7 linked regions of the Rattus norvegicus genome follow. The protein of the gene in region 2 interacts with the protein of the main gene of each other region in a pairwise test. Links are inferred from orthologs where the notes say so. Each region holds a gene or a part of one and is shown on either strand. Other genes may lie near its edges. The genes, in order: Evi5l, Nudt18, Glul, Rab3il1, Apip, Dut and Hsd17b14.

Region 1 (3,500 bases), on a different chromosome or scaffold from region 2:
AGATTCTAAGAAATAGGCCAGGCAGTGGTGGTGCACACCTTTAATTGCAGCACCTGAGAGGCAGAGGCAGGCAGATCTCTGAGCTTAAGTTTCAGTATTGAAAAAAAGGAAACCAAAACAAAAAACAAACCAAGATTCTAAGTGATGGGGGGTGGGGGAGGAGTGACTTCCCAATAGAAGTCACTCTTGAGCATCTGGGATCCTTTCTGCCCTGAGGAACCCCAGGCTCTGTCAGATAGAACCCAGAGCCAGCAACCTAGCACTGGGGAGAAGAAGAAGCCAACAGCAGCTGGTCTGGGGAGGTCCTACTGACTCTTTCCTACCCACTGCTGCAGGTCCCCAGAGCTTGCCTGCAAAGTAACCCCTGGCTGACTTTGAGAGGTGTTTAGTATGTTTTCATCTCAGCTTTCAGCCTGGGGGTACAGAAAGGAGCCAGGTATCTTGAGGTAGCCTCCTACCGTGCTCCTCCCTGCCTGTGCCTTCCCCTGGCACAGCCTGCTAAATCAGAAGCCAGCTTTGCCCTCACCATGGTTTCCCCATGACACAGGCCCCTAACCCTCCCAGCATCTTCCAGCTGGTGCTTCAGGAAAGAATGCACAAAGACCACAGTTGTGTCTGCGAACACGGGCATACATTGTCCGAGGCTGCCTGACTGGAGCAGCTGGGCAGAGGAATAGGACCTCTGGGCTTGTCTACCCACTTCCTAAGGAGAGTTCCCCCATGCTCAGACCCCATTCATCCCAGCCCTGCCTTCAGGAGGTCCTCTAGCCTGATTGTCTTAGTTTTATTTATTGTTAGGGTCAATGTGGGGGTGGGGAGAGGGAGAGAGAAGAAGGTGGCTCATGGCTCACAATACTCACAGTTCAATTCTGTTTCCACTCTGAGTTCTCTCTTACTCTTTCCATTGTTGGTTCCAGGGATAGAACTCAGGTCAGGCCCTGGGCAGTACATTCCTTTACAGGCCAAGCTGATCCCCACTTTCAACCCGCCTGATTTTCTCAAGCTTACCAGAAAGCATGCTGGGAAGGCAGGTCTCCCTCCTTCCCTAGTTGTTCCTTCTCCTACAGTCAATTCATTTGCACTACAAAAAAAGGGGGCTTGGGGACTGGAGAGATGGCTCAGTGGTTAAGAGCACTGACTGCTCTTCCAGAGGTCCTGAGTTCAAATCCCAGCAACCACATGGTGGCTCATAGCCATCTGTAGTGAGATCTGATGCCCTCTTCTGGTGTCTGAAGACAGCTACAGTGTACAATAAATAAATAAATAAATAAATAAATAAATAAATAAATAAATAAATAAATAAATAAATAAATAAATAAATAAATATCTTTAAAAACATACATTGGCTGAGTAACCAAAGACAGACAGCCCAGATGGCTGAGACAAAGGGAAGCCCCAGGCAGTAGCAGGATACAGTGGGAGCCTAGGCAAACCCTGGTGGCCGGGACCCAAGTGATCGTAACTCTCTGTGTCTCCACAGTACTTCCAGAGAGTGATCCCCCACCAGTTTGACAGCTGCCCAGACAAGCTGGTCCTCAAGGCTTACCAGGTCAAGTACAACCCTAAAAAGATGAAGAGGTCAGTGCCCGGGAACGAACGGAGAACTCAAAAGGGAAGCCCTCCTCACCTCAGGGAGGCGGGACTTTGACCGTGTGCCCCGTCCCCGCAGGCTGGAGAAGGAGTACGCAGCTATGAAGAGTAAGGAGATGGAGGAGCAGATCGAGATCAAAGTGAGTTCCAGAGGCGTGAGGGAGGGCAAAGATGGGCTGCCTTGAGGCTTTCCCTCGCAAAGCCAGAGCTGCCCGCTAGAGGGCAGTCCTAGCTAGCGCATGCACGGATAGAACGGGCTGGCCTGGGCGGACAACTTCTGGCTCCGGATTACCCTCGCTCACTTGCCCCTTCCTTCACCTGCCAGCCCCGCGTGGGAGCGCATTCCCCAATTGGCATGTCCTCAAAGCTGGCCTCACAACAGTAAACAAGACAGTCAAAGTTCCTTGCTTTCATGTCCCCGAACCCCCCATGTCATGGGGCGATAGTCAATAAATCACTGAAATAGTGTGGATTCCAGAGTGCTCCGGATATAGTCATACAAGAGACAGTCGCATCTGGGGAGACACTCTAGGTCCAAGAGTCCAGTGTAGAGGGCCTAGGATAGAAGAATGTGCCTGGTGGACAGGAGAACACCCTGGGGACACAGAGGTTGGGAGCTAAGGAGAAAGGCTCAGGCAAGCAGGCTATGTAGGCTAAGGTATGGTCATCCACTCAGGGTCCTGATTGTACTGTAGCAGCCAGCCAGCCCAGCGTCAGTTCCTTGAGTGCACAAAACGTCCAAAACCAAACTTACCTCTCAATGGCCTCTTCACCCCTCTTCATGTGATTTTAGCCATTCATCCAACAAACATCTTTTTTTTTTTTTTTTTGATTCTTTTTTTTCGGAGCTGGGGACCGAACCCAGGGCCTTGCACTTCCTAGGCAAGCGCTCTACCACTGAGCTAAATCCCCAACCCCAACAAACATCTATTGAAACAAAGATGAGACCTAGTCTTAAGTGACAAGGACCTGGCTTCCCAGATAAAGGCACTCTTGAGCATTGAGAGTCCCTCAATATCTTTCCAAGGAAGCCCAGGTGCTGCCAGGTACAACCCAGGGCCAGGATGTAGAAGAGAGGAGAAAGAAAAGCTCATACCCACCTACTCCAACTGACCAGCTAGCTACACGTTCCCAAAGCCTGCTAGCCAGGTTAAGGACCCTACAACCCAATATAGGGGACAGGCAAGGACACGAACCTCCATATAGACCTGGTTTTGTCCTCCACACTTGATGAATCAAAGTGGTTAGCACTGGTGTCCCACTGAAGACCAGCTGTGTGGCCCTGGCAGGTAAATTCACCTCTCTGAGCCTTGGAGCTTTGCTGTGATGTTCCTGTCACTGTCCGCCTCCAGTGCATTGTTTCTACCTCCTGTGGGAAGTCAGGGGCAGAGGCCTGTGCCGCAAGCTGAAGCACTTGGCCCTGTTGAGGCTTCCAGAAAGATTTCCATCCTGGGTTTGTGAGCCATCTCACAAGGAAGTGTTGCACTAGACCAAATGTGGTTTTTGCTGTGTGCAGATGAGCGGCCTGCTCTCATCAGGAGACTGTGAGGCCCAGAATAGACAAGAATGCCATAGACCTTGAGACCACAGGCCAGACTGAAAGTTTCCCCTGAGAAGAGATTTCACCAGAGGCCTTGAAGAGTCAGGCAGATGTCTCCTCACAGGGTATCTTACAAGTGTCCTGCAGTTTGGTCTCTCACTTTTAGCCTGTCTTAAAACATCCTGATTTGATGCTGGGAGGTGGTGATGCATGCCTTTAATCCCAACACTCGGAGGCAGAGGCAGGTGAATCTCTCAGTTTTGAGGTCACCCTGGTCAACAGAGCAAGTTATGGGACAGCCAGAGCTATACAGAGAAACCCTGTCTCACAAAAGCCAAATAAAGTAACAGAAACAAATCCCTTATTTGCT
Region 2 (4,129 bases):
CTCTGTGTGTGTGTGTGTGTGTGTGTGTGTGTGTGTGTGTGTGTGTGTGTGTGTGTTCTCGCGTGCTGGTGTGTTCTATGGGCTATGGCTTTGATATCCTACCTAGAGAATAGGTGGGCTGTCTGGTTCAAATAGTCAGTCCACAGCTTCTCCCAGGCTGCTATCTTGGCTTCTCAACAAGCATGGAAAAGGAGGGCTGTTACAGACCTACTGTACAGATGAGGACATTGAGGCCACCCAGGACACAGAGCAAGTCAGCCAGGAGTGGCTGGATGTCTGGTTTAAACTCCAGAGCTGTGTCAGCACCACCAAGCCACTGTCCCCCAAAGGAGGTACACAGAGCCAGCAGAAGGCTGGGAGGAGGGAAGGGAAGGCAGGGATGGAGTGAGGAGCCCAGACTTGGCCTGCTCTGTGGATTCCTCCCAGCTGGCCCTGCCTTCCTGTCCTGAGTGGAGGTTAAAGAAGCTCAGAGGAGGAAAGGTCAGGCTGGGAGAGAAGCAGGAGCTAGCCAAAACAATCCACACCCTGTTCCCCATGGCCAGGACCTGAACGCTGGGTAGGAGGGCACCACCCCTGCCCTCTAAAGATGTAGTCTGCTTCAGAAGCCTTGAAACTACAAGGGAAATGCATTGAGCATAGGAATCGGATACAGGCTACAGTGCTGACTTAAAGCTCCTTTTCATCCCCCAATAGCTTCTTCTCATTCCAGCCCTGTCCCACCTTGACCACCTGTCCTACCCCTCCTCTAAGGCCTGTCAATCATGTTTTGTTTTGTTTTATCCCCCAAACCAACCCTTTAGCCTAGGACTTTTAAAATGGCTTGTGTCCGTCGACCTAGACAGAGCAGAATTCCTAACGCAACGTTATGTGTCTCAGAACATTTTAACGAAGTCAGAAAGTTATTTGGGGCCAATCTGTCCTGAGCACTTCTCTAGTTTGTTTATGGTAAAAGCTGGACCGGTGGGAGCAAACGGCGGAGCCTCGGCTTCCGTAATGTCATCGGACAAGTGACGCCATCGACCCTGGTCACGGTGGTGTTCATCACCCTACAGGCAGGATGACATCACCGTCGGAACCCGCACGGACAAGTGCGTGCTGGGTGAATTAGCTAATTGCTGGGGAGAGTGTGGAGTGAGCGACCAGCGGCTAAACCCCGGGAGAGGAGGGGGCAGAGGGAGGATCCCGGAGCCCCGCCCCCTCGGTAACCGCTGCGAGATGGCCAATCCGGGCAGGCCGCAGTGATGCGCAGCCTATCAGAGACCAGATGTCTCCCGGAGGTTCCGCGTTAGACTTGGCCCTCAAGGCAGGGGGGGGGGGGGGGGGGAGCGGCCCACCGCAGCTCAAGTCCCTGCTGCCTGCCTCCGGGGGTCTGGCAGGTCCCGGCCTGCCACCTCCCCGGAGACTTGATGGCCACGGAGGGCCTGGCAGGGGCGCTGGCCACCGTGCTGGGGGGGAAGGGGTTGCTGGTGCAGAGCTGTGACTCGGAGCCGGCTGGCAAGCCGCTGTTGCCCGTGCGACTGCGGAAGAATGTCTGCTACGTGGTGCTGGCCGTGTTCCTCAACGAGCAGGTGAGCGTCCGACGACTAGCCAGCCTTCGGCTGGTCTCGGGAGCGTGCCGCCTGCCCTGATCGAAACAGGCGAGCCAACGGCCGCTGCCTGTGCGTGGCGATCCCAATGTTGCAAAGCACTCTCACACTAGCAACTGAGCAGAGATTGTCCTTATATAGACTCTATAATATAGAAGAAGAAGCTGAGGTCCCGGAGCAGTTATCTCATTCACTAGACCTCGTCCCACACCAGGAGAGGCCTGTAGTATTCCTCCTTCCTTTCCAGGAGTCTAGCAGTGCCTGACATGCAACGGGGATTTCCTGGACTCTCCCGGCCCCAAGGGTAGAAATGGGAAGCTTACATGCAGGCCTCCGACCCTCAGAGTTCTTTTTAGTGATTACCTCTGTATAAGTCAGCGTTATAAAATCCTGGCCAGGGGTTGGGGATTTGGCTCAGTGGTAGAGCGCTTGCCTAGCAACCGCAAGGCCCTGGGTTCGGTCCCCAGCTCCGGGGGGGGGGGGGGGGGGCGCGGGTATCCTGGTCAAGTAGGGGTAGGCTGGTATGGAGGTGGAGCTGAGTTTCAAAGCCTCAGATCTTAGATTGAGGATCTGACACAAGCGGTTTGTAAGTCACATGGAAACAAGAGCAAGACAGTGGCATAAATGAGTCAGTATAGGAGTGGTGGCAGCCTTCAGGATGAGGCCTCCTTAGAGCAACGCCCAAGGACCTCAGACCCTTTCTACAACAGAAATTCCTCCGGGTCCAAAGTTGAGTTACAACAAAAAGGAGGCAGCCACAGCTCTCAGCCTCACCAGGGCCTGGCTCCTGGGGATCCAGCATCATGAAGGTGTCTCTACTAAAGGAGCTTTGGACCACCATCCAGGTAGGAGCTGCTCTTTTGAAGCTCCCAGATTAGCTGGAAAGTGAAGATTGTCTTGCTTCCCTCTCAGGATGAGGTGTTGATGATCCAGGAGGCCAAGAGAGAATGCCGGGGAACATGGTACCTCCCGGCAGGAAGAATGGAACCAGGGGAGACCATCGTGGAGGCCATGCAGCGGGAGGTGAAGGAGGAGGCTGGGCTGCTCTGTGAGCCAGTGACACTGCTGTCTGTGGAGGAGAGGGGTGCCTCTTGGATCCGTTTTGTATTCCTTGCTCGACCAACAGGTACAACACAGCTGGTAGCATTCAAGCACCTTTCTTATTGTTTCTTCTTCTTAGCCAGCCATACTGTGGGCTTCTGCACATTGCCCAGGCTAAGAGGCTACAAGCTAAGAGTTTTGGGGTCTCCTGGGGGTGTTTGGGGGGCCATTTACTCTCTCAGGCTCTACACTTCTCATATTGGCCCTCTCCCCATCCTCCAAATCTCTCCTAGGTGGAGTTCTCAAGACTTCCAAGAATGCTGATTCTGAGTCCCTACAGGCTGGCTGGTACCCACGGGTCTCCCTGCCCACACCGCTTAGAGCTCATGATGTTGTGCACCTGGTAGAGCTAGGTGCCAAATTCTGCCAACAAGCCACACACCCTCTCATTCTGCCTCAAGAGCTTCCCTGCAATATGGTCTGCCAGCGGCTGGTGGCCACCTTTACAACAGTTCAGTCAGTGTGGGTGTTGGTGGGTACAGTGGGGACACCTCACTTGCCCATCACTGCCTGTGGCTTTACCCCTATGGAACAAAGAGGTGGCATCAAGGTGGCCATCTTGAGGCTACTACAAGAGTGTCTGACTCTGCACAGTTTGGCAGTGGAGACCAAGGGGTTGCTTGGGCTGCAACATCTCGGCAGAGACCACGTGGATGGTATCTGCCTGAATGTGCTGGTGACAGTGGCTTTTCGGAACCCAGGAATCCAAGATGAGCCCCCAAAGATTCGGGGGGAAAACTACTTTTGGTGGAAGGTACTGGAGGAAGACTTACAAAAACAGCTTCTACACAGACTCCAGGAATCTTCTGTTGTCCCCCTGACCAGATAGATACCAGCAGTGACCAAAAGCTGAGCAGCCACCCTCCCTCTGAGGCAGTGAAGAGACTGGCAGTCAGGGGTCTCATTGCACATTACTCAGGTACAGGAACTACACATTGAGCCCAAAGGGAGGGTGCCATGAATCCAGTCATTCTGAGGGCACACGATGCTTCTCTTTAAGTTTGAAAGGAGCTTTTCGAACCGTAAATGGCACCATCTTCTCTGTCCACTTTGGAAAAGGCCGCATGTCAATCCTTCCAACCCCACAGCAATGTAGAGGGGGATGGGACAAGGGGGATGCATCCCTCAGGGCAGAGTCCTCATTGCTGAGTAAAAAGGTGTTGCTTAACTTGCCTACTTGCCTAAATGTCTGTGTGGGGAGGATATGGGGCATTGTCCCACCCATAGCCACCCAGGTCTTTCCTTACTGATTCTATGCAGGGGTGTAGGGCTCCTGGAGTAGACATTGCTCCTCACTGAAGCCTCGACCCACCCAGGCTCTCTTTAGTGTTTCTGTCCTGTTGGGGCAGGCGTGGGACTTTGAAGTGACCACACCCCTAATAAAAACAGAGCTCAGACCTGTCCAGGTGGTGAATGGTTTGGTCTGGTGAAACTGCCTATGG
Region 3 (4,140 bases), on a different chromosome or scaffold from region 2:
GAGCCACAGTGTTAGACACACTTAGGGGAGTTGACAGAGGTTGACTTAAGAGGCCGAGCTATGTGTGTGTGGTCACAGGCAACATTTCTTTTTCATATTTGTGGTGCAAAACATAACCAGAAGAACAAACTCCATCCCTTCCTCTTCCAAAGGCACCAAGAGCATGGATTTCTGGTGTTAGAAAATCTCCATCTCAAACACCAGGGCTCCTGAAAACATATAATAAAGACCGGACATGAGGTAGATTTCATGTACTAGACACAGATTGCTCAGAACGTGGCATTAATAATATATGGGCCACGTCTATTTTTACAGGTAATTTCTGTGCACATTTTCAGTTTGTCTCATAGTGTTTACACATTATCTCAGCCAACACTGCAGGGTTAAGAAAGGAAAGAGAAACTCATTCCCCCCCCCCCCGCCCCGCTCCCCACATACTTAAAAACAAACAAGAAGCAAAAGCAGGGATTTCTTTCTTCCCTTGCTTTCTTATTGTTTGTTGAGACACGTTTTCTCTGTGAAACCCTGGCTGTCCTGGAACTCCCTCTGTAGACCAGACTGGCCCCGAACTCCGGAGATCCACCAGCCTCTGACTCCTGAGTGCTAGTACTAAAGGTATGTGCCACCACCACTCTTTAGCACACGGTCTGCATCCTGACTTCAAGTCTGGTGGACCGCTTTGAAAGTCCTTCCATCTGCTTTATTTTGCAGATCTAAGGAACTCGGGCACTGAGAGGCTCAGAGACTTGCGAGACACACAAGGCAACGTCAGTCAGTCTACGGTCCTCAAAAATCCTCTTTATAGAAACGTCACACTTGTGTTTAAACCGTGAAATCACAGCCTGATCACATCCCCCAAACCCAGTCAGGAAGCCAGGAAGATGGGGTCCTCCAGGTTCCGGGAATCCTGTCTGTCTCTGGCTCGCTCAACAAAGGGTAAAATTCTCTTCTGGGGTTCTGGATTTTCACCGACAGATCTCTCCGAAAACCTCTGTACTGTTAAGGTAGCAAAGGACCAAGGCCAAATGACGCTGAGACAGTCTCAGCCTGGGTCCGAGGGTCCAGAGGTCGCTAAAGAACGCGTGCTGCAAAGGCGCACAGCACCTTCGGCCCCGGCCCCCCAGCCGCCGCTGCCTCCCCTCCCCCATTCCCCTTTCTCTTTCTTTCTTCTGGGTCGCTCGCCCCACCCCGCGGTTCCTCACGGCTCCTGGGCCAATGGTCTCAGGGCCCCGGTGCACAGCAACTGATGGGCACGGGGTTCCAGGCCTAGGCCAGCCAATCAGGGCGCCTGGGGGCGGGCACAAGCTGCCAATAAAAAGTACTGAGCAGCCCGCAACCCTGCACAGCCGAGAATGGGAGTAGGGCGGAGTGTTTGAGCAGCACACCCATTTCCTCTCCGCTCTTCGTCTCGTTCTCGTGGCCTGTCCACCCATCCATCATCCTGCCGGCCACCGCTCTGGTAAGCGCACGGAGGGTCCAGGGGTGCACAGCCACCCGGGCTGTGGCGTCGCACTCTACATCCCAGCTCCAGTCTGTTGCTGCTTGGCGCGGGATGCAGCGTTCGTGCCTCCCGCGTGCTTGTAGCGTGCGGCTCGGGCCGGCTCTGTTTGGCGTTCCTAGGGCGCGCTGTGAGCCAGGCTCCGGGAAGGGCGGGGTTGCGGGTTGTTATGATCTGTTTTTTACTTGAGGCGGGAGGCGCCGCCCCGGAGGCGGGCGTCCTGGGTTGGCTACCAAGCCGAGATCCGGGGCGACTCGGTGGTCCCAGCGGGAGTGCGCTCTTCTTGCCTTAAGTGGGCGCCGGCGCCTTGATCCTCTCTGGGCGGCGCGATTGGGTGAGTTGTCACGCTGTGGGTGGTCTGGTTGAGGCTGGTGGTCGTTAGCTTTGGTGGCACCACTCGCCAGCACGCAACGCCTTTACCGTATGACCGAACAATGGAGAGCCGGGACCCCGGAGTGGCCGGAGGGCTCTGCAGTGGAGAGGCGGGGCCGGGCGGAGGCAGCAGCAGCACGCTGTGCCTCCCGCCGTCGCTCCACTCTCGCCGTCCGGCCTCTGTCCTCGCCGGGGTATGGCCCCTTGGGAGAGGCCTTGAGATCTGCGGGGGTCCGAGAGTCGGGGCGCCGACTTTCCGGTTATTTTAGTGGGAAGGGCTGCTTCTCAAAGTGGATTACCCCAACTCCTCCGGGGGCGGGAAGCGGGGATCCTCCCCCAACCGCAAATACTCAAAGAAAGCACCGGCTGAAGACATAGACGATGGAGAGTCTCGGTTCTCAGAGTCCCCTTCTAATACCTTCGGCTTCGTTGCCTACTCTGTGAACAACGGGGAGAAGTCGAGGGCTAAGGTTAAATCCCACCAGCCTACTTATTCCAGCACCTCCCACTCCGAACGATCTGGGTCCCCCATCCCATCGCCCTCACCCAGAAAGCAGCGTTGCTTAGACCAGCGAGAAATGGAGCTGGAGGAGAGGAACGAACACTACTCTAAAAAGAGGAGGATTAGAGAGTACAACCTCAATGTATTTGATTCACATTGGCTGGGGTGAGTAAAAAGGCAGGGAGAAGGACCCGGGTGCATCTGGCAACAAGCAGAAACTACTCAGAATCTTAAGAACCCGTTCCACTTTGCACCACAGGGACACTAGTTGGTGCTAGGTACACTAGGCTGCTGGTACCCAACTGGTTTCCAGGAACAGAGGAGGAACCCAGGTTCACCTAAAGATTGTTAAATGCTGGATGTGTAAGCCACAGGAGAGGCAAGCCGAGAGAGAATTGGGTGGTGTAAGTTGAAGCCATCTGGAATTACAGTCCAGGCCTCGGAGTGGTGTAGGTAGAGGTTCTGGTTCTGTGTAGAAATCCACCGCAGAGATTCATCTGTTCCCCAGGGAAAGGGTTAGGCTTTTGGAGGGAGAAGCACTTGTTTTCACTTGGGCAAACATGGACAGTTGCCCGTAGAAACTTTGCCACTGTACTTCAGAAAGTTGCCCAAGTCGCTGGGAGGAGAACAATATGTTCCCTTTCCATCTATCCTGGGTGATTAGGGAGGGGGATGTTTCCTCTTGGGTTGAGGCTGGTTTTGCAGGCTCTGATTCATAGAGGATCTTGTCCCCTGCTCCTGTGACTTGTAATCTTGTGCCCCCGGGGTCTTTATTAGAGGTGGGATTTTTTTCTACTCACCAGAAAATATCATCTGGTGGGATCTTCTCAAATACTGTAATTTTCGCATTGAAATCTGTCTCTGGAGGAAGGACTTTTCATCCCAGTAATGAAGTCAGCCATTGAGGCCTGGTGTAGAGGGGAATACCTTTAATCCCAGTTCTCAGGAGACCGGTAGATTGTCTGATTTCAGGAAATCTTGGTCTTCATAATGAGTACCAGGACAGAGAGGGCTTGTAGAGAATTCCGTCCCCCCCCCCCCAAAATCAGCAGTGTACTCGTTCAAGTATGGCTTTTACTTTTCACCACATTAGTGGTGGCATTTAATACAGGGTTGTTTTTCTTTCTCCGAGGAGTATGTGAGTGTGTAAAATCTTACTAGCTCCAGTGTATCATTGTTAAATCTAACTTGGCAGTGGCACACACTTTTAATTTTAGCATTCGGGAAGCCAAGGCTGGCCGATGTGGGTATGAGGCTAGCCTGGTCTACATCGCAAATCCCAGGGCTACATAACTAGGTAAACCGTCTAAATGCAGGGACTAGGGGTCATGATGGGGTGTGCGTGTCCCTTAAGGTTGTTACAGGAATAGGAGGTGACAAAGGAAGGCTCAACAGTCCATTAGTCAAGGCTTTCTGTGGCAGTGAGGTAGTTCTGTTGGGTGGAATGAGTTATGTTAATGAGCTTTTTGATATTTTGTTCTGTTTTACTAATGTATCTCAAGGTTAACAGTTATTAAAATCCCTTAACTAGTCCCCCTGAGGGGGACGATCTTTGTCTAGTAGGAAACGTTAAACCTCTTGCAAACAGAGTGAATAAAGCACCTTTTACGTGTGTTGAGTCCCAAAGGAGAGAGAGCACGGTGCCCTCCATCCAGTCTGACTCCTTTGCCACTCCTGCAGGGGATCCCTTTGGAGTAGATGTTAACCGAACGATCTTCGTCTCTCTCCAGAACACCTTCCACCATGGCCACCTCAGCAAGTTCCCACT
Region 4 (4,285 bases), on a different chromosome or scaffold from region 2:
GTGGGTGGGCTTTCTTTTGCTGTTGTGGGGTTTTATTTTGTTTTGATTTTTGACTTTTGAGACAGGGTTTCTCTGTGTAGCAGTCCTAGCTGTCCTGGAACTTACTTTGTAGAGCAGGTTGGCCTTGAACTCGGAGTTCTGCCTCCCTTTGCCTCCAGAGTGCTGGGATTAAAGGTGCGTGCCATCATTCCCTGGCTTTCTTTTCTGTTTTTTTTTTTTTTTTTTTTTTCCTTTTTCTTTTTTTCGGAGCTGGGGACCGAACCCAGGGCCTTGCGCTTCCTAGGCAAGCGCTCTACCACTGAGCTAAATCCCCAACCCCTCTTTTCTGTTTTTAAAAGAGATAATCCGTTGGTGAAGGTGGGTTCTAGGCAAGTCTGGCAGTAGAGGTCTCCCATTTACCATACTGGAATTCCATAAGCCAAGCATGCAGTTGCAGCCAATGAGGGCATTGAGGAGGAAGTGTCCGTTTAGCCCAGGGTCTGGAGACCAACCTAGGCAGTATATGACCCACACCCACTGAGGAAGAGGGGCCTAAGGGAAAGGAGAGAGGGAGGTAGGAGTTCCGGCCTGGAGAAACTCTTGGTTTCACGTGGCCTGAGCAGTTCAGAAGGGGCAGCTGAATGCCTGTTTGTGTGGATGGATGAGTGAGATGTGTTCTTAAAAGCCCAGAGAGTGCTGTAGACCCTGCCTGTGGGAGCTGGTCTTAGTTCTCAAGGAGGGGCTGACTCTGGGCTCTACTTGTTGGATCCTGATCTGAGGCTGAACTTCATTCAGGTCAGTGGTTAGGATAAAAGGAGGGCATAGGAACTGAGGGAAAAGTGGCAAAGGATTCAAGCTTTTTACAGATTTTTTTTTTAAAGTACCTGGGACAGACAGGTGCTAGTGAGGTTGGCAGAGTAGTCTCCAGAGTTTAGGATGGCTCGAAGGCTGGGATGAACTAGTATTCAGAGATATAAGAGGAGGGGCCTGGAAGCAAAGCTGGTAAGATTGGGCCGAAGTAGTGCTCTCTTAGCTTAAACCGCTCAATGAATATTCGTTTAGGGTCTGCCCCGCCCCCTTCCCAGAAGCCCAGTGTCACTCTGGGATTGATGCAAAGCTATGAGCTCCAGAGTCTGGTAACAGGGTTAGAAGTCTGAATGAGGGTGCAGGAGCTGTTTGCCCACTTTGAGTGACAATCTGCCCGAGAAATAGAGCTGAGATCCCCGAGAGCCATTGTAGGTTCTCAAGCAAGGGTGCTTTAAAAGTGCAAGGCAGAGAGTGATAGGGAAAGGCGGAAGCCAGATCTGGATGCGAGATGATGGGACCAGTCCCGTTCTCGCTCCGGAGGGTCATTGTCCCCAAGCAGCAAGAGGGACAGGGCTGGGCCGGCAGAGGGGCGGGGCCGGGCACGTGGCCTGGGGCCCGCCTCAAGGACACGTGACCCGCCCAGGGCAGGGGAAGGTCTGGGGTGGGGCGGAGCCGCAAACCCTTGGCGGCCAGCGGGACAGACTGGCGGAGGAGCGATTGACAGGCGGCAGGGCAGCTCTGGGGCCCGGCAGAGTTGGTGGTGCGCGTGGACGCGGCTGCGGCGGAGACCTCGGGATGTGGAGCGGGTAGGTCCCCGCACGCCGGTGGCTCTGCGCTCGGTCTGGGCCACGCTGGCCTCCTGGGATGGGAGAACAGGGGATCATTGCTGTTGTTTGTACCCCACTTGGGAAATAATCTGTACTCTCAGCCCTGCCTGCTGCGGCGAGGTGCATTGTAGCATGAGGACACACTGCAGCCTGAGATCTGAAAGGACCTTGGCAGGACCGATCTGAGTTGCCCCAGGGTGGGAAGGGTGATCCTAGCTCCAGTGGAGCGCATGAGAGAAGTGGTGGTGATGGGGATGAGTAAGTAGTATGTATACCTCAAACTGGGGCACACATTTAAAGGAGGGAACACCCATAAACTCTGGGGAAGCAGTGCAGTTGAGAAAGCTAGCTGTGTCTCTCCAAGGTCTCTGGCTAGTTGACTGGAACCTGGAGGGGCATAGGCATAGACCCTGAGTCCTGAGTGAACCCGTTTCCCACCCCTCATCCCCACTCCCATCTGTTAGGGCCATCGGTTCTTTTTTTTTTTTTTTTTTTGGTTCTTTTTTTCGGAAGGGCCATCGGTTCTTAAGGCTGACTCCTGTTCTTGGCCAGTCTAGTAGGAGTCCCAGCCTCGTGTTCACATAAAGTTGATGTCCTTTCTTGAATTTAGGCAAATGCCTTCTCCTTCCTGGGCTGCAAAGGGTCTTGGGGGTGTTCCTGCTAAGAACTGTTTCAGGATAGGCAGACGATAGGCACGATAGATAAGCGGAGGGAGGAAACCCTGGGGAGGGGAACAGGTAAGATCTATTTACTCTCATGGACCCCAGCTGAGTTTGAGCTGAAATGCTGGGGAGCTTCGAGCTTTGCCGCTTCAACCCCAGCCAGGGCACCAGAACTGAGCTCCCGGGAGGTGTAGGCAGGCTTGATCTTTTAGAGGGAGCAGAAGCCAGCCTGTGTTTGTTGGGAATTTGCTCCAGGGAAAGAAGCTAGCTAGACTTGGGAAGTGTTTTGGATGGGTTCAAGGAGCCTGCCTCAGATTGAGGCAATCCCACTTAGGGATGCATTGCCTGAGGCTGTGTGTTTGAGGAGCAGCCTGGTCTGAAAGGAGCTGTGAGCCTTTCTGCTGGGCGAACTGAGACAGTTGCTGTATAACCCTTAGGGTGACAACTCCCCTTCTCTGGGCTGGAGTCAGCTTGAGTACTTTGGGTGTGCGTGTGTGTGTGTGTGTGGGGGGGGGGTATGTGTTACCGGAGGAGATGCCAGGTGTCCTTCCTGTCTCCACTGTATTCCCAGGTCTCTTCACTAACCCTGGGACTTGTTTAGCCAAGCTGGTGGCTAGTATACACCACTGATTCTCATGGTGCTGTGTCCCACTCTTACCCACTAAGCCATCTCCCAGCCTTTGTACATAGGGTTCGGAATGCTCTGGGGACTTAGGGGCCTTGGAGCAGTCCACTCCCTACAGCTGTTAAGAGGGACCACGCTCTGGGTCACACACTGCAGGTCACTCTATGAGATCCCTAGAAGCTGATGTCAACTCTAAGGGCTATATCCTAGGAGGTATGTATCCTAGCCCAGGAAGGGTTGGGGCCTGGCTTCCTGCTGTAAATGGAACTGAGCTATGGTGTTTGTTTACGGCAGAGTCCTAAATGGAGATAAGCCAAAGTGACTGGCTGGATCCTGTAGGAGTCAGGAGTAGAGATCCTTTTGAAGATAAACCTTGAACTCTGAAGTAAATGGCCATACTAATCTGATTTTTGGAGTAAAGGAAGTGGGTACAGGGTCTCATGTAGCCCAGGTTGGCCTCAAACTCCCTGTATAGCCAAGGATGACCCTCTCTCTCCATCTCCCAAGTACTGGGATTACAGGCATGTGCCACAATGCCTGGTTTAGAGTTTAGAAGTGAGGAGGACAGGATCTAGACCTTTGTGTTCTGGGCCAGGACTCAGGCAACTGGGCTGCATAGCCAACCTAAGTGTCGTTTTGGTTTGCTTTATTTTGGACACAGGTTCTTACCATGTAGACTAAACTGATCTGGAACTCTCTTTAAAGACATTTTTATTAGTGTGGTGTGTGTGTGTGTGTGTGTGTGTGTGTGTGTGTGTGTGTGTGTGTATGGTGTGTGTATATGTATGTGTGTGTATGTATGTATGTGTGTGTGATGTATGTGTGTGTGTGTATGGTGTGTGTATATGTATGTGTGTGTATGTATGTATGTGTGTGTGATGTATGTGTGTGTATGTGTGTGTATGTGTGTGTATGTATGTGTGTGTATATGTGTGTATGTGTGTGTATGTGTGTGTGTATGTATGTGTGTGTGTAAGTGTGCATGTGTGTATGTATGTGTGTGTATATGTGTGTGTATGTGTGTGTATGTATGTGTGTGTGTATGTGTGTGTATGTGTGTGTGTATGTATGTGTGTGTGTAAGTGTGCGTAAGATGGAGGGAGAGAGCACATGTGTCACCACACACACATGATAAGGTCAGAGGGCAACTTTGTGGGTTTGGTACTCTACTTTTATGTGGGTTCTAGGGATCAAACTGAGGCCCCCCAAGCTTATACAGCAAGCCTCTTTCCTCCTTAACCGTCTCACTGGCCTAGAACTCTTAACCCTCTCTGATTAGCCTCCAGGATGCTGCACTGCTATGCCTAGCTATCTAACCTCACTTCCAGGGGCTCCACCTCCCCCACAGACCGCAGACTGGGCTTCCCCTCCTCCATCTCCTACAG
Region 5 (2,537 bases), on a different chromosome or scaffold from region 2:
TTCATTTGTTACTCAGACAACTTAGACTGGAGGGAATTTCACACAATGCTCTTAATATTTTTGATGATGGGTACTCACTAAGCCTGTGTAGAAGAAGTACTACAGTATATAAGGGAAATCAATACAATTATCTTTACATCAAGTAAGAAGGACACACTAATTTTAAATAGTTCATGTATATTTTATGCATCAACTTAAAATAAAATGGTTATCCCATAAATAAGTGGAAAATTTCAAGGAAATTCTATGATTACCAGTGCTTTAAAGATAAAAAAGAATTCTCTGAGAATGCACACAAAAGGAATTAACTTGAAGGCAAACATTTCTCTTATAATCTTTAAAATGAGAAAACACTAAATAAAATACGTTCTTATTCCCCCCTCCCTGTCCCCTAAAACTGTAAGAATTTAAAGTCACAGGAGATTATCTGGTAGTATTCAGTATAAGAGACCATTGGTAGTATTCTGTGACAAATTAGTGACATCAAGAGAATTTCCAACTCATTTAAAAGTAGCAGAGTTTTATTTAAGGCGTAATTGAGTTTGTTTTATTTTTGGAGATTCTTAGGCGTCCACTTGGCTTATACGATTCCATGTTCTCCAACTGGGAACTGCGTTGGATCCAGCCCCATCTTCTTCATGGAGACAGCAATGTCAAACAGGTAATCATAACACTCACACCTGTAGAAGAAAGAGCAAAAGGCCTGCACGTGTGTGTCTGGACAGAGCTCTTTTGATCCCCATATCTCCCTATGTGAGCTCTGCTCTGCTCTTCCTACATTTTTCTCTTATCTTATACCAAAGGTTTTCTGTTTTGACCCCAACAATTTCCTAACTGAAAGCTGATTCAGTCACTACTCCCCAATGATTCAACAGAGTGAAAATCAGCTCTCCACAAGTAACATAGATTACTGAAGTTGAAACATGTTGACCAACAATATGTAAAAGACTCATATTTCATTCTAAATCCTAAACCCGTTGAGTTCTTTCCACATTCTGAGTGTGATTTGTACCAAATATCCTCAGATTCGGTCTTACATGGTTTTTGCTTTCTCCCATGTTTCTCCCCACACGTACACCCCGTGACGCCTGACTAGAACTGCACAGGAGTCTGGGTATTCATTCATGGCACGAGCCATCCGTTCTTTGAGGTCCTTCTCTTCAGGAGTGTTCTCAATAATGGGTACCACTAATATATCATCGTATCTGTAAGACAGAACAAGACATTTTCCCCCATTAAAGTATCAATAATCGATTTCTGATTTTTCCCGTCAGTAACCAGTCAGAAACTCTTTATCTCTAAATAGCACTCCGATTTCTCCAACTTCAAAACAAGATGTGGCAAGAGTCTTGTATATCTTGTATAAACATTTATACCAAAAGACACCTTTGGAATTTGGCAGGCAGCCCTAAGTTTAGATGGCAGGAACTTGTACAGTATACCAGAACCTAACAAAGAAATCAAGATCATACAAGTATTTCCTTGAAGCAAAGATAATCATAACATTTTAAACATGAGATAGGAGATGATATACCTCACACACAGAAGTGCAGAAAGGAAGAGACATTGAACTATATATTAACAATAGGAACATTTCCCAGCAGTATAAAAAGAAATCATTATATTTCATCTCGGCAGAATCCTAAAATGTCTTGACAGGCAAACCAATCAATAGAGGTGTGGTTTGTGGCACCAGATTAGAAAGACCCTTCTAGCAACAATTACCAAGGTTACGATAATCCTTTCAAAATAATCTCAAATCTGCTGTATTAGAACTTTCTACCTTTTTCCTCAATAAATACATGAAATAAAGTCAGAATATAACAAAGTTCAAGCAAGCAACTTTGCTATAAATAATCTAAGCCTTTTCTTGAGTTCCCTTGTAACCAATGACAACTCAGACAACTTTTCATTTAATCATGGATTTCTTTCAGGCTGCCTTCTCATCGAACAGTGAGTAAACTTAATAAGCATTCAAAGTGTTATCAGAAATGACCACTTTCAGGCTGGCATAGACTAGGGAGCTGTTGTGTGATTAATAATTTGGGCAACCATTATCATGGTAGTATAGACTTGCCCATGACTCCATTGTAGTTCAGACAGAAGTAATTATACAATATTCATTGTATAATTGGAAGGAGAGAATTGCTGGCCTCAGATCTTTCCTGAAACTACCCAGAAGACTGGCAGACTTGTATTTTCCCATAGCATATACCACACAGTCAGAAATATTTCCAGGCACAAAATAATTTCAAAGCACAGTGAGACCAGAAAATAATTCAAGCCCATCCCTCACTTTACCAAGAGGATATCGATCCTCACAAGTTAAATACATGTGAAACAGAGCCACACAAGTCCTTTGACTGGCCCTTAGTATCCTTTGCACTCTAGCAGAGCACAGTGTTTCCAACGTGGACAGCAGCTACATTAACGCATGCTTACCTCACTTGGTAACAGGAAGTGTTTAATGCTGACTTTGTTTTGCTTGGCTCTGCTGCTGAGGACTGAACCCTGGGCCTTGTGAGTCCTCAGCTCGT
Region 6 (3,500 bases), on a different chromosome or scaffold from region 2:
CTGAGCCATCCGCCCTCTGCTGGACACATCATTCATTCTCCACTCACTGTTAGCAACACTCACTTGCACCTCCTCTAAGTCTGGATAAAGAATCCGCTCACAAATGAGCTGCGCGATCCGGTCACCTTTTTTCACTTCAAAGAAAGAGCAGAGCACAGATCACCATGTGTACTGACCTATTTTCTGTCTTGTTCAGTGAGAACCAGTCAGTTACACTGACACAGGTAGCTCACATTTTCTACATACATGAACATATTTAACTCACCCTCGAACTTCTCTTTTCCAAAATTGAACAGCACGACGCCGACATTTCCTCTATAATCTTCATCTATGACACCGGCTGGAAGAGAGTAATGTCAGCTTCATTCGTGCCGTCAGAACATCGGGGGTCTGCACTGATCTCAAAACCACCTTTCCAAAGAGTCTCTGAGATTACAACTGACAAGGCCACACTCTGGTCCTACGGAGCCTGAGAACGAGTTTTACTAAAATACAAGAATTTAAAAAATGTGTCCCGGATTTCAGTCTGAATGCTCATCAAGTGGTGAGCATTTCCCACTGCAAGCTGAGCACAGCTCGTACTATCTCCCACCTCCAGGACACTACCCAGGCCCTGCATTGGAGAAGATGAGAAAATTAAAGCCCGGACCTCACATCTTCTTGGTAACAGCCTCACGGATACTCTGAGTCATGAACAAGCTCCAAAGCCGGGTGACCTGCACTGGGAGGTCAGTGGCCACATGCTCAGTGGCGTCCTGCAGCCATTAGAATAGGGGCGGAGCCAATGCTTACATTCTTCCTTTCATTTCCAACCCCATCCTCTAAAAACCAGTCGCTCTATAAACACTGGCTGGTAAGCTTAATGAGTTCACCTGAAACTTCTGTTGTTGCAACAGCACATGTGTGGAGGTCAGAAGACAACCGCTCAGCCAAGGGTCCCCTGCCACCACGTGGGTCTGAACTCAAGTCCTTAGGCTCGGAGCAGGCGAGGACCCAGCGAGCCATCTTGCTGGGCCAAGATTAGTTTTAAATGTCTAATTAGTACCTGTTTGATATTATAAAGTAAAATAGATCTTTAAAGGAGACCTTGCTGCGGCCCAGAAGATACATGCCCCAGACTTGCCCTCAGCTGTCCCGGAGCCAGGAACTTGATGTGTTTACAGAAGCACAGATAATGTGGCTAACAGCCCTCCGTTTCTAACATGGAGATCTAATTCACATGTCAAAGGCAGTTCATTCTGTCTAGACGATCTATTTTTTTTTTTTTAGCAGAACAGTAACAAACCTTTCACCAATTCAAATTATTATATAAGGTTTCCTTTTTACCGGTTTATTAGTTTAGTCCTTAGTACTTAGGAAAAGATCTGACATGAAGATTGGGCCGGCTGTTTTCATACTCTTTGGAGAGAGGTTGACTGCAGATGATGTCGCTTGCACTTAACAAGGCAAGTCCTTAGTACAGAGCAAGTTGTTCCATGTTGGAATGAATGATCACAGAAGGCTGGAAATTTTCCACCGTGGAAGACCTTTGAGGTACAGCCTAATAGGCCTATTGCAAGTGAATCTGTGGAAGACAACTTGGACTGACTTCCAAATTCTTTTGGTTACTCAAACAGTATCACCATGCACAAGGCGAAGTCAACATTATAGTAACAAAATTTATAATCACTTTAACTCTTCCACCCAAAGTGTGTGTCTGCTCTGGCAAGGGATCACATCCAAAGACTTCATGTCTCTATGATCCAGTCAGAATAGACATGCCCTTAGTACACCTTCAACCTCTAACAGTGAAGGTAAGGTCAGTTTGTAGAAGGAAAGCAGCCATGCTTGAAAGTGACAGCTAACTGAAGAGCAGACACCCAATGAACAGCACAGGAAGAGAGGCTACGTACGTACGTACGTACGTAAGGGGGTGGGGGAGTAGCGTACAGAGACAGATCGCAGAGAGAACAAGCTAAACACAGATGAAGACAGAATGAGCCAGAGACGGAGGAGCCAGACAACTAGAACAGATTGTCCAAGTCAGGGTGAGACCGTTAGGCAGAGCTCAGAAGCCAGGAGAAGCTGGACTGAATCAGTCACCTTCGCAGATTAGACTGTACAGAGGCTAGAAGCTTCCAGGCCCACGTCTAGATCTAGTTCAAACAGAGGGAAATGTTCTGAGCTCATTCCAAGCTGTGTACTCATTCAGCTTGGGTATGGCCCCATCTTATCCACCATCTGAGGAAGTAACAGTGACATTGACACCAAAGCAGTTATCCGGGGGTTGGGGATTTAGCTCAGCAGTAGAGCGCTTGCCTAGAGAGCGCAAGGCCCTGGGTTCGGTCCCCAGCCCCGAAAAAAAAACAAAACAAAAACAAAACAAAACAAAAAAAAAAACCAAAGCAGTTATCCTCTGAAACAGCACGAACTCTAGCCATTCCTTCTAGATACACATGTAGAAAAAACGCCAGTACTTTTACATGAATATTGTCTTACATAAAACCAGTTAGTTATGTTGCCTTCATGTTTCTGCTATGACATACACAGAACAGTCCTTGATGTATATACCTGTACATTAGTGCTAACTCAAGGAAGTTACAAAAACTTCTGTGGGTCAAAGGATGGATGTTGTTGTAAAATTATAAAAAGGGGCTGTCTTTTACCCAGCTAGGTTTGGCACTGTAGTGCCCCAAGATATCTCATCAGAAGCACACATCCTAGCTCCATGGCGGCCCAATGTCTCTGCCACCACACCCTCTCCCAAAGACAAATCGCCACAAGAAAGAACACACAACCTCTGATCCAATTGATTCATAACAACCTGTAAAGGCACAGCATGGAATCTTAACGTCAGCCGTGTTCTCTCTGTGGCTTCTCCACCATCTCCTCTAGTCTCCTCCTCTTCTCTCAAACTTTTCTCCCGCCCATCCTTTCTTCTCATCCAATCACAGGCCTGGTTCTATCCTGTACCCACCCTCACCTGTATGACATCCCACAGATGGAGATGTATATGAGGCCCTGCTAGATAACCCCCCAAAGCAGCAGTCATTCCAGCTTCCAGCAGCAATAGTTGAGGGTCCATTTGTGCTAGGACAGATGGTAGCAGTTTAACTGCTGGCCAATATAATAAAGAAAGCACTCCTTTCCCCATGGCTGACATCTTTCTGTATGAATAATGAACACTTGTATGTCCATACATGTTTCTATATTGTCTATGATTTTTAATGTGTTTTTTCATGAGTTGCAAATATAGTAATTTTCTAGTCTCACACACACACACACACACACACACACACACACACACACACACACACACACACGAGACACACCCTTTTGCTGTGTATCTGCAAGTTCTCCTGTATTCAAATAGCTAGGTGTCCTGAATTCTATGAAGCCAGGTCATTTTATGTGCTTGGAACATGAAAATGGGAAAATCTTAAGACTAGCAAGCAAATAAATAACCAAAACAATGCTGGCTCTGGTGGCAAAGGCCTACAATTCCAAGTACCTGGAGGGCG
Region 7 (4,192 bases), on a different chromosome or scaffold from region 2:
GGGGTGGGGGGGTCAATTCTTGATGCAGACAGGGGAGCAGTGGTGTTATTATAGTTTCCTGTGTACCAAACAAGTCCCCAGAACTTCTGAGTCCCTTGAGTTCCCGAGGTAACTACAAAAAAGCCAGGAAGCCCCTGGTGGTGGGTCAGAGACTGCAGAGCTCTTGTGGCCTGAATCAGATCCAGCTGTTCATCCAGTAATGGTGACCTCCCTGCTGGTCTACTGGTAACAAAGCCTGTGCTTAACGTCCTCTAGATAAAAGCTAGGAAGAACTCCCCGGGAGCCTCGGTGGCCTGTTTGACACGTGGCTTATTTTCTGTAGTCCTAGGCACTCCACAACCTACTCACCCGTGTCTGGAGGCCACCGGGAACGAGTGCTCAGCCTCTCCCAAGCTCTTGCTACAGAGGCTTCCCAGTGGCACAGGCTGATGACAGGTGAGGTGCCCAGGCTCTGAACCCCCGCATCTGAGGAAGGAGGCCTGGAAGTTTGGACTTTACACGTTTAAGTTAACACTTTTCTCATTCTCCGTTTAGCCTCTCCAGAGAGAAATTTGGACACCAGGGGAGACTGTCTCCAGCCAAGTCCACAGCCTCCCAGTGAAGAGCTGCCCCAGGTCACCTCGTCCCCAACTTCTCACAAGGCTAACTCGGCTACCACAGGGTTCTCATGCCAAGGGAGTGGGAGAGGCCTGGCTCCGTGGGAGCCCAGGTGGGACCCTGGGAAGGCCCCTCCAGCTCTGGCCCAGGAAGAGGGGGCATGGCCCCTGAGAGTCACTCTGCTGCAGTCCAGCTTTTGACTCCTGCCTTTGCACTGGGTGCTAAAGGCTGGAAGCACAACCTTGAGGTGTGGGACCATTCAGGACCACAGGGGAGAGGTTCATTTCAGCCTGTGTTCTAGGAGGGCCGGGGCTATGATGGTCAAAGATTGATTATCCCAACACTGTCCGAACTTGGATTAAAACTTTGAACTAGTCAATAAATAGCTTTATTCTCTCTGTGGTTGTGACATTGTGTTCTGACAAACAAGCGTCAGGGCCTTGGATTCACAGGACATTGGGGGGCTACATCTTAAAATATGGGTCTGAGGGAGGAGGTTGGAGTCTGGATCCTGAGTCAAGGCAGAAGTGGTGCTGGTCTTACAAGTCAAAGGGAGCAGGGCTAGAGTCAGTCTGAGGGGGCAGAGCTGGGGTGGGGGTCCCTGAGCCTGGAAGAGGAGTGTCAGGATGGGGATCCCTGGGTCTGAAGGAGGATCATCACGGGTGGGGACCCTGGGTCTGAGAAAGAGGGCTAGGAAGGAGAGTCCTCAGTTCTCCTAGGTGTGCCTTCCTGGGAACTCCCCCTGCCAGGGTCAGCCTTCAGTGACCCAGCCTGTATATCTGGTTCCACTCCCCCGCTTCTCTGGACTTTAAAGGTGGGAAGAGGCCCAGAGGGTGTGGGACACGAGCGAGATAGCTGGGAATGGCTGCAGTAGGCCGATATTCTGGGAAGGTGGTGGTGGTGACTGGGGGCAGTCGGGGCATCGGGGCTGCGATCGTGAGAGCCTTCGGTGAGTAAGGGTCTTCCCGCCTGCTGCCTGAATTGTAGGAGAGAAAGAGCGGCTGGCAGAGGCTCCCACAGTGGGAGGAGGAGACTCAGGTTCATTTCTTTAATGATTTGTTTGTTTTTAATTTTCTCTGTGCGTTGTCGTTGTACCTGGGTGAGGTTGTCAGATCCCTCCTAACCGGAGTTATAAACAGTTGTGAGCTGCCATGTGGACGGTGGGAACTGAACCTGTGTCCTTTGGAAAAGCAGCCAGTGCTCTTAACCGCTGAGCCATTTCTCTGGTCCCTCCGTTTCATTCTTACATGAATCCATTTGGATTGTTGGGTCTTTGTTGATAGGTCGGTCATTAAAAGTTCTTCCACTGGCCTGGCAGTGGTGGTATATGCCTACAATCCCAGCACTTGGGAGGCAGAGGCAGGTGGATCTCTGAGTTTGAGGCCAGCCAGGAGAGTGAGTTCCAGGACAGCCAGGGCTACACAGAGCAACTCTATCTCAAAAATCCAAAAAAAAAAAAAAAAAAAAAAAAAAGTTCTTCCCCAGATGGGTCCCTAGCTGCAAATGATAGCTTTGTGTGTTTTATTGTTTGTAGGTTTTGGATTTTTCTAGAATCCAGGATGGGGGCCAAGCAGTGGCTTAATGAGGAAGGGTAATTTGTTGCTCTTGTGAGTGGAGACAATCTTGTGAGAGAGACAATCACGAGAGCCGCCAGAGAGGCAGGTGCTCTGGTGGCCACAAGAGGGCAGCAGAGGCAGTGACGCAAGTCTGCAGGGCAGGTAACATCGTTCTCTTTCTGTTGGCAGTGGACAGTGGGGCTCAAGTGGTTTTCTGTGACAAGGATGGTGAGTGAATCAGTGTTCATCTCTCCCTTGCCTCATCAATGATCTCTGCATAGCTCTCCTCCCTCAGACCCACATTCCTAAGCCTCCTCCCTCGGACCCAGAATCTTTCTCTTGCAGAGGCTGGGGGCCGGGCTGTGGAGCAGGAACTCTTGGGCACTGTCTTCATCCCCGGTGACGTGACTCAGGAAGGAGATTTACAGGTCAGTGTTTTCTGTCCCACACTCCATCGCCAGTCCCTCTGGGTATCCATGCCCTTGTCACCTCCGTCCTTCTGCCCTCTTCTCTCTCAGGTCTTTAGGAATGATCAGGACTTGAACTCTTGGCTCCTGTAACAAGTTTCTGACTTCCTGGCACTCAGAATCTCTTATGTGTTTCCAGGTCTAGCTCCTATCTGGGCCTCTGTCTTTCTTTGTCTCTCTGCTCCCCACTGCACTCGGGTCTGTAGACTCTCCTTCTGAGGCTCTGTCTTCTGCACACACACCCCTCCGAAGTCTTCTAAAATGGTGTGCTGGTTAGTGTTAAATCGACTGGACACAAGCTAGAGTCATTGGGAAGAGGGAATCTCACTAGAAAATGGCCCCACCAAATTGGCATGTGGGCAAGCCTGTTGGTCACTTAATTAATTAGTGGTTGATGTGGGAGTTTCCCCAGCTCCCTGGGGGTTGTGACATTGCAGGGCAGGTGGTCCTGGATAGTCTAAGAAAAGGGGCTGGACGAGGCATGGGAACAAGCCAGCGAACAGTGTTCGTCCACAGCCTCTGCTTCAGTCCCAGCCTTGAGCTTCTGCTCTGAGTCCCTGTCCTGGCTTCCCTCAGTGATAGATATGACCTGGGAGCTGTAGGCAGACATTAATCATCTCCTCTCCAGGTTGCTTTTGGTCATGGTGCTTATCACAGCAATAGGAACGCTGTGACAAGTGGCAACTGTGCTGTGTGGATCAGTCCTTTTAGTCTGGGTCCTCGACTTCCTGCATCCTCCTCTCTTTCTAGACCTATTCTGTGGCCCTGGTCCCCTTCCACCTCACCCTACCCTGTCTTCCTTAGCTGAGCCCATCCTTGCCTTGGGCCTCCTGGCTTTTCCAAGGCTGTCACCTCTCAGCTCATCACCTGCTCTTTCTTCTCTCCTCAGACTCTGATTTCTGAGACTGTCTCTCGATTTGGTCACCTGGATTGTGTGGTGAATAATGCCGGCTACCGTAAGTTGTGTGGTTTGGAGGCCAGTGTCCCTGACATCTACTTATACCCTCTTCCCCATTCCTCTCTTAAAAATTATTGCCCTATCTATCTATCTATCTATCTATCTATCTATCTATCTATTATCTATCTATTATTTATCTATCTGTCTATCTATTATCTATCTGTCTATCGATGTGCATGTGTGTAAGCGTGTGCTTGCACAAGCACTCGCACTCTCATGCACAGTAAGTACTTCTCTGGTGTTCAGTGCAACAAGAGGGAATCAGTTCTCTCCTTCGGCCATGTGGGATTGAGTTCAGGTTATCAGGCTTGGCACAAGTGTAAAGGTACAGTTGAGCCATTTCAACAGCCCAATCCTTCCTCTGAACCTCAGTTTACCCCTTCCTCAGGACACATAGCCCTCTGCCTCCCGCGTGCGCGCACATGTGTGTGTGTGTGTGTGTGTGTGTGTGTTTACACTTGCATGTATGTCTGTTCTCCCCTTGCATGACTGGTGCCCACAGAGACCAGAAGGAGTTGGATCCCCTGCAACTGGAGTTACAGGCAGTTCTGAGCCACCATGTGGGTGCTGGGAGTTGAACCTAGTTCTCTGGACCAGCAGCCATGCTCTAAACC

The links.
Region 1: the proteins of Nudt18 (region 2) and Evi5l interact in binary tests that used the Homo sapiens proteins (3 or more experiments, as listed by UniProt). The two-hybrid records come from large-scale screens. The link is inferred for Rattus norvegicus from reciprocal best matches to the Homo sapiens genes NUDT18 and EVI5L.
Region 3: the proteins of Nudt18 (region 2) and Glul interact in a two-hybrid assay, tested with the Homo sapiens proteins (2 studies listed by BioGRID and IntAct). The two-hybrid records come from large-scale screens. The link is inferred for Rattus norvegicus from reciprocal best matches to the Homo sapiens genes NUDT18 and GLUL.
Region 4: the proteins of Nudt18 (region 2) and Rab3il1 interact in binary tests that used the Homo sapiens proteins (3 or more experiments, as listed by UniProt). The two-hybrid records come from large-scale screens. The link is inferred for Rattus norvegicus from reciprocal best matches to the Homo sapiens genes NUDT18 and RAB3IL1.
Region 5: the proteins of Nudt18 (region 2) and Apip interact in binary tests that used the Homo sapiens proteins (3 or more experiments, as listed by UniProt). The two-hybrid records come from large-scale screens. The link is inferred for Rattus norvegicus from reciprocal best matches to the Homo sapiens genes NUDT18 and APIP.
Region 6: the proteins of Nudt18 (region 2) and Dut interact in binary tests that used the Homo sapiens proteins (3 or more experiments, as listed by UniProt). The two-hybrid records come from large-scale screens. The link is inferred for Rattus norvegicus from reciprocal best matches to the Homo sapiens genes NUDT18 and DUT.
Region 7: the proteins of Nudt18 (region 2) and Hsd17b14 interact in binary tests that used the Homo sapiens proteins (3 or more experiments, as listed by UniProt). The two-hybrid records come from large-scale screens. The link is inferred for Rattus norvegicus from reciprocal best matches to the Homo sapiens genes NUDT18 and HSD17B14.

What each region holds. Positions count from the first base shown.
Region 1 is NC_086030.1:7,341,492-7,344,991, forward strand, and holds part of Evi5l (EVI5-like protein), read left to right. Parts: intron 1-1,480; coding exon 1,481-1,578; intron 1,579-1,669; coding exon 1,670-1,730; intron 1,731-1,915; coding exon of another isoform or gene 1,916-1,975; exon of another isoform or gene 1,976-3,500. UniProt on the Homo sapiens protein: Functions as a GTPase-activating protein (GAP) with a broad specificity.
Region 2 is NC_086033.1:52,058,968-52,063,096, forward strand, and holds Nudt18 (8-oxo-dGDP phosphatase NUDT18), read left to right. Parts: upstream 1-1,329; 5' UTR 1,330-1,406; coding exon 1,407-1,568; intron 1,569-1,612; exon of another isoform or gene 1,613-1,890; intron 1,891-2,045; exon of another isoform or gene 2,046-2,389; coding exon of another isoform or gene 2,390-2,431; intron 2,432-2,498; coding exon 2,499-2,712; intron 2,713-2,920; coding exon 2,921-3,516; 3' UTR 3,517-3,855; downstream 3,856-4,129. UniProt on the Homo sapiens protein: Mediates the hydrolysis of oxidized nucleoside diphosphate derivatives. Hydrolyzes 8-oxo-7,8-dihydroguanine (8-oxo-Gua)-containing deoxyribo- and ribonucleoside diphosphates to the monophosphates. Hydrolyzes 8-oxo-dGDP and 8-oxo-GDP with the same efficiencies.
Region 3 is NC_086031.1:68,574,726-68,578,865, forward strand, and holds the start of Glul (glutamine synthetase), read left to right. Parts: upstream 1-1,340; 5' UTR 1,341-1,459; intron 1,460-1,810; exon of another isoform or gene 1,811-1,832; intron 1,833-2,123; exon of another isoform or gene 2,124-2,448; coding exon of another isoform or gene 2,449-2,537; intron 2,538-4,102; coding exon of another isoform or gene 4,103-4,115; coding exon 4,116-4,140. UniProt on the Homo sapiens protein: Glutamine synthetase that catalyzes the ATP-dependent conversion of glutamate and ammonia to glutamine.
Region 4 is NC_086019.1:216,086,419-216,090,703, forward strand, and holds the start of Rab3il1 (guanine nucleotide exchange factor for Rab-3A), read left to right. Parts: upstream 1-1,485; 5' UTR 1,486-1,581; coding exon 1,582-1,592; intron 1,593-4,285. UniProt on the Homo sapiens protein: Guanine nucleotide exchange factor (GEF) which may activate RAB3A, a GTPase that regulates synaptic vesicle exocytosis. Promotes the exchange of GDP to GTP, converting inactive GDP-bound Rab proteins into their active GTP-bound form.
Region 5 is NC_086021.1:109,910,919-109,913,455, reverse strand, and holds the end of Apip (methylthioribulose-1-phosphate dehydratase), read right to left. Parts: intron 1,206-2,537; coding exon 1,038-1,205; intron 681-1,037; coding exon 581-680; 3' UTR 501-580; downstream 1-500. UniProt on the Homo sapiens protein: Catalyzes the dehydration of methylthioribulose-1-phosphate (MTRu-1-P) into 2,3-diketo-5-methylthiopentyl-1-phosphate (DK-MTP-1-P).
Region 6 is NC_086021.1:132,959,399-132,962,898, reverse strand, and holds part of Dut (deoxyuridine 5'-triphosphate nucleotidohydrolase), read right to left. Parts: intron 1,565-3,500; coding exon of another isoform or gene 1,392-1,564; exon of another isoform or gene 1,006-1,391; coding exon of another isoform or gene 873-1,005; exon of another isoform or gene 341-872; coding exon 266-340; intron 135-265; coding exon 64-134; coding exon of another isoform or gene 48-63; intron 1-47. UniProt on the Homo sapiens protein: Catalyzes the cleavage of 2'-deoxyuridine 5'-triphosphate (dUTP) into 2'-deoxyuridine 5'-monophosphate (dUMP) and inorganic pyrophosphate and through its action efficiently prevents uracil misincorporation into DNA and at the same time provides dUMP, the substrate for de novo thymidylate biosynthesis.
Region 7 is NC_086019.1:105,164,303-105,168,494, forward strand, and holds the start of Hsd17b14 (17-beta-hydroxysteroid dehydrogenase 14), read left to right. Parts: upstream 1-1,392; 5' UTR 1,393-1,458; coding exon 1,459-1,546; exon of another isoform or gene 1,547-2,342; coding exon 2,343-2,381; intron 2,382-2,498; coding exon 2,499-2,581; intron 2,582-3,509; coding exon 3,510-3,576; intron 3,577-4,192. Other genes in the region: Plekha4 (pleckstrin homology domain-containing family A member 4), read left to right, coding at 323-435, 535-797. UniProt on the Homo sapiens protein: Catalyzes the NAD(+)-dependent oxidation of L-fucose, yielding L-fucono-1,5-lactone, which rapidly converts spontaneously to L-fucone-1,4-lactone. Can also act on D-arabinose and L-galactose, with lower catalytic efficiency. Does not use NADPH.